Linked DNA regions of Cricetulus griseus. The protein of the gene in region 2 purifies or fractionates together with the protein of the main gene of each other region. This does not show direct contact. Links are inferred from orthologs where the notes say so. Each region holds a gene or a part of one and is shown on either strand. Other genes may lie near its edges.

Region 1 (4,303 bases), on a different chromosome or scaffold from region 2:
ATCTCGGTCCTCTGCTTGCACCCTTTTAGCTGCTGCAACGTCTCTCCAGCCCCTCCAAACTTAACGTTTTTCGAGACCCTGAACCTGAACTCAGATTGTGCTACACTTGCTGACCAGCAAGCCAATAGCACCCCTCCAGTCTCTGCCTCCTAAGAGCTGGGATGCCATTGTGTGAAGCTGCTTTTAAGAAAATAAAAACAAAGCCGGGCATTGGTGGCGCACGCCTTTAATCCCAGCACTCGGGAGGCAGAGGCAGGTGGATTTCTGTGAGTTCGAGGCCAGCCTGGTCTCCAGAGCAAGTGCCAGGTCAGGCTCCAAAGCTACACAGAGAAACCCTGTCTCGGAAAAACCAAAAAAACATAACAAAAAAAAAGTGGGTAGGTGGATGTTTCGGAATATTTGTTTATGCTGTAAAGAAGTGTCTTTGCCTAAGGCGTTGGCGTTTTCTAATGACTTTAATAAAGAGCTAAATGGCCAATAGCTAGGCAGGAGAGAACAGGAGAGACTTCTGGGCAGAGAGAGAGACTGGAAGAAGGAATCTAGGCACACATGATTTTGTGCAGTACTAAGAGGCAACTGAGCCACGTGGCAGAATGTAGACTAAAAAAATTATATGGGTTAATTAAGTTATGAGAGCTACCTGCGAACAAGCCTAAGATAAGGCCAAGCTTTCATTATTAACAAGTCTCCATGTCCTTTGTGGGCCAGCAATCCCAACTAGAAAGTACTGCTACATTTGTGGGGCACCAAATGATGTCTTTCCATCAGCTTAGGGGTTGGCACATGAATCTACAGGTATTTTAATTATTGTCTACAGCCCCACTGCCCACATTATGCACCCCATTGGCCACACCTCACAGGGCTTCTGCTCCTGCACCCTGGCTCTGTTACAGTCACCATATGTAGGTTTAAATTAAGTTTCCAGTCGGGTGTTGGTGGCCCACGCCTTTAATCCCAGCACTCGGGAGACAGAGGCAGGCGTTTCTCTGTGAGTTCGAGACCAGCCTGGTCTACAAGAGCTAGTTCCAGGACAGCCTCCAAAGCCACAGAGAAACCCTGTCTCAAAAAAGAAAACAAAAAAACAAAAAAAAACAAACAAACAAAAAATGCAACACATAGATTAAGTTTCTATTTATGTATCTATTTATAGGCTGGGATGAAAACCTGCTAGCTCAGGGAGGCTGAGGCACAACTAACTGACCTTGCTTTATGGCAGGATACACCTCAAGAGGGGCATATCTTCCCTCCTCCCAGAACCAAAATGAAGCTCAAACTCTAGTTCTGGCTTTCCCCTTTCCTTACTGTATGTCTTCTGTATCGAAATTGCTTGCTTCTCTATGGCTGGCTCTACCCCCTGATTCAAAGTAAACTTTATCGACAGTCTAGAGTGTCACAGTGTGACCAGGTCTTGATGCTTGTAAGAGCAAGCCCTTCACCAACTTAGTCGTCTCACCAGCCTCACAAGTTTTTGTTGTTGTTCTTTGTTTGTTTTTCCCTGAGACAGGGTTTCTTTGTAGCTTTGGAGCCTATCCAGGAACTCGCTCTGTAGACCACGGTGGTCTCAAAATCACAGAGATCCTCCTGTCTCTGCCTCCAGAACGCTGGGATTAAAGGTGTGCACCACCACTGCACAGCTGTCTCTTGGGGCTGGAGAGAGGGCTCAGGTTTAAGAGGACCCGGGTTCAATTGCCAGCACCAACAAGGCAGTTCCAGTATCTATCCAGTTCCAAGGGATGTGACACCCTCACACAGACATACATGTAGGCACAAACGCCAATGCACATAAAGAGGAGTCAATAACTCATACATACATACATACATACATACATACATACATACATACATACATACATAGAGATTCTCTTCTAGAAGCCCAGGCTGGCTTTGAATTTGAGATTTTCGGGTCTCAACCTTCCCAATGCCGGGATTACAGGCCTGGGCCTCCAAGCCTGCTCACTCTAGTTTTTTGGGGGTGGGTTAAGTCACCAAAAGATTTGGGACTTTACTTTCAAAGCGATTAAATACTCGGGAAATGCAAGCGCTTCGAGTCTCAGAACCACGTGTCTTTCCCAAAGACCCAGTGACTCAGGAAAAAGAAAAACGCAGAACTCTCTCACTGCTGACGCTTGCAGGTGTCGGGCGGTCCCATTTCCAAATGGCGCTAAGGTCCCCGAGCAAATCCCGGGACGCGGCGAGAGGCCCACCGGAACCAGAATACAGCGTCGGTGGAGCAGGCGAACCCGGAAGCAGTCGGTCCCCGTCGCAGGGCCGCCCTTTGTTCACCAACGCCCGTCTGGCCTAGCCGGGAGGTCCCCAAGTCCCCGCCGGCGCCGACTCTCAGCCCCCCACCTCCCGCGCGCACCTGCGGCCTCCGTCGTCCGCGCCGCGCCGCGCCAACAGCACCAAGATGGCCCCGGCCGGGCGCGCGATGCGCTCCCCGTGACGCTCTGCAGCGGGCAAGCCGGCTCTCCAGGGAGCATGGCGCAGTCCCCGCGGCCCGGCTTCCTTCCTAGGTCGCCACCCTTCGGCTCCCGTCACCTCCCGGGCCACCCGCCGCAAGCAGAACGCGGGGGCCCCGCTCCCGGGTCTGCGAGCCCTGCTTCCCCGTGCGCCCTGCCGCGCAGGCCCCGCTCGGGCCGGCTCACCGCAGTGGAGCCCTTCTTGACCGCCTCCTGCGCGTACTCCACTTGGAAGAGGTGGCCGTCGGGCGAGAAGACGGTGATGGCGCGGTCGTAGCTCATCCCGGCGGACGCGCGAGCTAGGGCCGCCGCCGCCGCCGCTCAAAAGCGCACACTCACCGCTTGCGCCCGCCCGCCGGCCGTCTCGGGCCACGCTGCTGGCGTCCGCGGCGTCTGGCGTCAGGGGGACGTGCGGCGCGGCGGGGCGGGGCGCGCGGGCGGAGCGGGCAGGGGCGGGGCGCGGCGGGGCGGGCGCAACCACCGAAGCCCGGCACAGGGGCGGCGCGGCGGCGGCCGGCTGGACGCAGAGCGCAGGCGGCACAGCGGCGGACTCGGCGCGGGGTCCAGTCCCGGAAGGCGGTGGCTTAAGGCGCAGGGACGCGGGAGGCCCGGGCGCGCGTCGGCGGCAGGCGGGCGGGCGAGCCCACGGCACGGCATCCCCCGCGCCCCCGCCCCCGCGCTGCGGAGAATGGGCACCTCGGGCCGCGGGGCGCAGCCGGAGAATAAACCCGAATGATCACGGGCTGAGTCCGCGCCGCCACCATGTCCGTGGCCTTCGCGTCGGCGCGGCCGAGAGGCAAAGGGGAGGTCACACAGCAGACCATCCAGAAGGTGGGCAGGGCCGCGGGGGTGCGGAGCGAGGGTGCGCGCGGGGCGCGAACAAAGCCAGGGCACAGCCGGGCCGCAGGAGCCCTGACGGCGGCCCCGCGCGCCCCCAGGAGAGCCTGCGCCAACTTTGCCGGAGGCGCCGGCAGCGGGGGCCCGGCGGCCGCAGGGGGTGGCCACCCCGGAGCGCGTCGCGCGGTGTCCTCTGAGAGCGCCCCTGTCAGCCGACGCAGCAGTGCGGGACGCCGGGGCCCGCGGCCCCTCCAGCCGGGGCGGGGGCTGGTCGCGCTCCGCTGACAGCCCTGGTGGCGTCGGTCGCGCGCCTCTGCGCGCAGCTTGGCGAATGGAGAAGGGGGCGCGGGCTGCCTGGTGGCGCGCCGCTGCGGCGAGCTGACCGGTGTCGTAGGTATTGCGGTCCCCGGCACAAAGGGACGCATCCAAAGTGTGCGTGCCTTCCCCACGGCCCGCAGCGGGCTCCCGAGCTCGCTGCAGGCGGGTGGACCTGAGGCCAGCGCAGCCCCGCCCCCGCGCGGGTCACTGGGCATCGGCGGGCCCCGCTGCCTGCACCCAGACTTCGGAGATTTCGTCCTGCAGTCTCGGTCCCATCCTTTATTCGGGCTACTGTTTTCCAAAGAAGGCGTTTGCATGGGTTTGGGGACATATTTAACAAAAGCTTTAAGTTTTGACATGAACACTTTAGCATTTTACTGGTTGTCTTTCGGTCTGAACATCTTTCCTACGCTCTGGCTTTTCTCAGTTCGGGTTCCTTCTACAGAATTTCCGAATTCCCTTGAGCCGGTTAGGTCCCCAAGGGCCTTGGCATTTTAGGCCCTCATAACCTGAGGGGCTTGTGGGTATTTACTCAGCTTGTCACCTGTTTCCCAGCTCACCCTTGCTGTATTCCGCCTCTTTGGAATATAATGATTGTCGAAATCAGCAAGCTTTGGTGAGCTTTGGGCAGGAGAGATTATTGGAGCAGAGCAGAAATTCGGATTTTCCAGTGTGGTTTTTGTATTAAC
Region 2 (4,300 bases):
CCCTCCGGAACTGGAGTTACAGGCAGTTGTGAGCTGCCATGTGGGTACTGAGAACTGATTAGAGGACCTCTGGAAGAGCAGCCAGTTCTCTTAACCACTGAGCCACCTCCCAATCTCCAGAAATTTTTGTTTTTCGACACAGGGTTTCTCTGTGTAGCCCTGGCTGTCCTGGAATTCGCTCTGTAGACCAGGCTGGCCTCGAACTCAGAGATCCGCCTGCCTCTGCCTCCCCAGTGCTGGGATTAAAGGCATGTGCCACTACTGCCCAGCTCCAAACCTGGCCCTCTCTCTCATCTCTGTCTCTCTGTCTGTCTCTGTCTCTGTCTCTGTCTCTCTCTCTGTGTGTGTGTGTGTGTGTGGGTGGGTGTGTGTGTGTGGTTTTTAGAGACAGGGTTGCTCTATGTAGCTTTGGAGTCTGTCCTGGTATTTGCTCTGCAGACCCAGATGGCCTCGAACTCAGAGATACGTCTGCCTTTGCCTCCCGAGTACTGGGATTAAAGGCCTGCGACACCCCTGCCCCACCCAAGCCTGGCTTTTTTGTTCAACACTTAAAAGGTAAAAGTATTTCTTGAGTGTGAAAATTACATGAAACAAGTTGTTTTATTGAAACTCACCCACAGGAATTTATTTTGTGGGCTGCTTGCCTCTCGAAGTAGTATAGTTGAGATGCTACAGACATGGTACCACTTCCCAAACCTAAATAGCTATCACCAACCCCTGACAGAAAGTTTGTCTGCCCCTGGTTAAAGGAAAAGTGCCTCATGTCACAGTCACAGGTGCTGAGGAGGCACTGAAACAGGATGAGGTAATAAACTGGGCAAGGGAGGTACTTTCTGAAGGATGGTGGAAAATTCTCTCTGAAAAATTGACATCCGAACTGAGTGCGGACATTGAGGGAAGAGTGTTGTAGGTTTCCCAAGGGCAGAGTCCTTGAAGTCGGAATAAACACTAAGTAGCTACAAGCATTTTCTTGTGTAATGGATGAGTCTGGAAAGCAATAGACCGTCAACTTGGAGGGGGCAGGTGATTATGAAAGAAAGGTCTTTGGATTTTATCATACAGGCCTGAATCCCTGCTGTGGGGGAATGATCCACAGGGCAACAGAGTGTGCCACAATGGCTTTGTGCGGAGCTTGGATAAGGATAGTGCCAGCTCTCGGTGCTGGGCCTGGAGTATGCTTAAGTCAGGGGACCACGCCGGCATGGAGAAGAAAGACCAGGTCTTGCTCCAAATCAGAAAAGATTTAAAACCCCCAAGTAAGGCTTATTATTGCCCTGGCCCTAGCAGAAGTAGGGGGTGCCCGGAAATGGAAGGCGGGGTGGGAAGGGGCAGAGGTACGGGCGCTGGCAGGCGGGCTTTGGGAGGCGGGCCTGGCAGGCGAGGGGAGAGACCCGAGCGCTGGGCGGAAACGCTACTCGGGCTGCCGGGGGAGCCCCCGCCTCTCAGTAGGCTGTCCCCGCCTCCTGCAGTCCCTCCACTCCCCAAACCCAGGAAGGCCGTGCAGGTTCCGAGCTCTGCTTTCGCTTTCCCTTCCCGCTGCCCACTCCAGGCTCCTCGTGCGGCGCTCAGCCACCCCCCCCCCCGCTCCGACCATGGCCACCCTGAGGGTCCATCCTGAAGCCCAAGCCAAGGTGAGCGCTGCGGGTCCGAGTGGCTCGAAGAGGCATTAGAGAGGCGTGGCTCGGAGCGGACCCGGATTCCGGGGATCCGCTCCTAGTCCTGCATTTGAGTCGGGGGTCTGCTCCCTAAGCCTGCTGCCAGAAGCACCTGCTTCACTGGGGGTAGGTGAGGCGGCTGTGGTTCAGTGGGGTGAAATGAAGCCGAGGGCTAGTGTGAAGTCTGCTGGCTTGCGGCCCGGGCTACACACAGACGGAGAGAGGGACTTACCCCGGCCACCTCGAGCTCTTTGACTCAGGAAGGGCACACGCCTGCACCCTGCCTCTGCCCACAGGCTGAGTGTTTTAAGACAGGGTCTCTCTGTTATATAGCCCTGGGCTCGAATTCACAGAGAACCACATGACTTTACCTCCCTAGTGCTGGGATTAAAGGCAGGCATGCGATACCACTCCCGGCCAGAGGGCTTTTTTATTTCCTTGCACAATCCTGGTGACCCCGGGAATCTTCTCCCTAAATCCAGTGATCCACTTGGGGATCCACTGAACTCTTCCCCAGAGAGTTTCAGGTGTGCTGAAAACTACAACACCTCAGGCCACCCTATAGAGGGACCCATCTCGCTTTCTTCAAATGTGGCCTTAGAGGGATCCACTCTATTCCCCAGGTCAGGCCCTACACAACCCAAAGGGAATTGTCCTCAAATGAACTGGCCTTAAAAGCTAGGTATCTGAAGGGTTGCCTGTACCCTACAGGTGGATGTGTTTCGGGAAGACCTGTGTAGCAAGGTAAGACCTACTCATCGGCAACCCCACCTCCAACCAGCTGCTGCTGTTCAGCCTTCCCTTGCTGGGCAGTGTGAGCCCTTACTTCACTGCCTAGGAAAGGGTGTTTGATTATGACCCCATCCTCCTCCACCACCTCACACAGACAGAGAACCTGCTTGGGAGCTATTTTCCCAAGAAGATCTCAGAGCTGGATGCATTCCTAAAGGTACAGGGGCCCTTGCAAGTACTCAAGAGGAGCCTGGGGGTGGGGGTGTGGTAAGATAAGAGGAACACCCTCATCTCCAGCCCTACCATTAGGAGCCAGCTCTCAATGAAGCCAACCTGAGCAATCTGAAGGCTCCACTGGACATCCCAATACCTGATCCAGTCAAGGAGAAAGAGAAGGAGGAGCGGAAGAAACAACAGGAGGTAAGCTGGGAGGACTGGGAGGTGGGCCAACAGTAGAGAAAACCAGCCTCAGTCCTGTCTTCCTCCCCACAGAAAGAAGAGAAGGATGAGAAGAAAAAAGGGGAAGATGAAGACAAAGGTATTTGAAACTTGGGAAGAGACAGGCTTGTGTCTCCTAACTTCCGAGTTGCACTGTGCACACTCCCCTTTCCAGCTCTCCCAAGTTCAGTCACTAACTGACCCATTGCACACTGCCTAGGTCCTCCCTGTGGCCCAGTGAACTGCAATGAAAAAATCGTGGCCCTCCTGCAGCGCCTAAAGCCTGAGATCAAGGATGTCATTGAGCAACTCAATCTGGTGAGTTTCACTTTCATCCCTCAGGCTTTGTCCTCTTGGTGTCTGCCAGTTAGGACAGTGATTGCACATAGGAGAGGGAAGAGCAAAGGAGCTCCAAAGGGGCCCTTGCAAGTACTCAAGAGGAGCCTGGGGGTGAGGGTGTGGTAAGATAAGAGGAACACCCTCATCTCCAGCCCTACCATTAGGAGCCAGCTCTCAATGAAGCCAACCTGAGCAATCTGAAGGCTCCATTGGACATCCCAATACCTGATCCCAATACCCAATACCCAATACCTGATGTTGAGCCTTGGGCTCAACATGGATCTGGCATTCCCCTGTTCACTGTGGGCAGTCAAGGGAAGAATAGGAACCTGGGACTTAGGGTGTGTGGAGGGGAGGGAAGGAGACAGTGGTAAAACCCTGATACCTTCCTTTGCTCCAAGGTCACTACTTGGTTGCAACTACAGATACCTCGGATAGAGGATGGAAATAATTTTGGAGTGGCTGTCCAGGTAAGAGCACTGCCCCCTCAATCTACAGCCCTCCTGTGTAACCCGTGCTCCCTTCTAACTCACCACTTTCTTTCCCAGGAGAAGGTGTTTGAGCTGATGACCAGCCTTCATACCAAGCTGGAGGGCTTCCACACTCAAATCTCTAAGTGAGTTGCCTGGCCACTACACCCCTAGCACACTCTGCCTTTGGGGACAGGCCTGGGCTCCTTCCTTTTTCCCCCCACTCCATACAGACTACTTCTGCTTCCCACAGGTACTTCTCAGAGAGGGGTGATGCGGTGACCAAAGCAGCCAAGCAGCCCCACGTGGTAGGTGAGGCCCAGGTCAGGTTTTGCTGGGGAAGACACATTTCAAGCCAGGACTAACCCTGAGTTTCTGCAGGGTGATTATCGGCAGCTGGTGCACGAGCTGGATGAGGCAGAGTACCAGGACATCCGGCTGATGGTCATGGAGATCCGTAATGCTTACGTGAGGAGGGGAGAGGGCGGGGGGGGGGGAGGATGACAAGATCAGCCTTTCCAAAGCTAGAAATGGGACACAGAACCACTGGGGGCCTGTGGCTGACCTCCACTACTCCATGTTCCTATAGGCTGTGTTATATGACATCATCCTAAAGAATTTCGAGAAGCTCAAGAAACCCCGTGGAGAAACTAAGGGAATGATTTA

The links. Proteins that work in one complex are often made in the same cells at the same time.
Region 1: the proteins of Psme1 (region 2) and Psma7 purify together in Homo sapiens (affinity purification with mass spectrometry; 5 studies listed by BioGRID and IntAct, with this or other methods). This does not show direct contact. The link is inferred for Cricetulus griseus from reciprocal best matches to the Homo sapiens genes PSME1 and PSMA7.

Annotation. Positions count from the first base shown.
Region 1 is NC_048599.1:1,892,246-1,896,548, reverse strand, and holds the start of Psma7 (proteasome subunit alpha type-7), read right to left. Parts: upstream 2,837-4,303; 5' UTR 2,742-2,836; coding exon 2,646-2,741; intron 1-2,645. Other genes in the region: calcium-responsive transactivator, read left to right, coding at 3,222-3,290.
Region 2 is NW_023276807.1:210,783,128-210,787,427, forward strand, and holds the start of Psme1 (proteasome activator complex subunit 1), read left to right. Parts: upstream 1-1,471; 5' UTR 1,472-1,592; coding exon 1,593-1,631; intron 1,632-2,366; coding exon 2,367-2,399; intron 2,400-2,541; coding exon 2,542-2,604; intron 2,605-2,696; coding exon 2,697-2,807; intron 2,808-2,879; coding exon 2,880-2,925; intron 2,926-3,045; coding exon 3,046-3,143; intron 3,144-3,565; coding exon 3,566-3,634; intron 3,635-3,712; coding exon 3,713-3,780; intron 3,781-3,887; coding exon 3,888-3,942; intron 3,943-4,015; coding exon 4,016-4,102; intron 4,103-4,223; coding exon 4,224-4,300. UniProt on the Homo sapiens protein: Implicated in immunoproteasome assembly and required for efficient antigen processing. The PA28 activator complex enhances the generation of class I binding peptides by altering the cleavage pattern of the proteasome.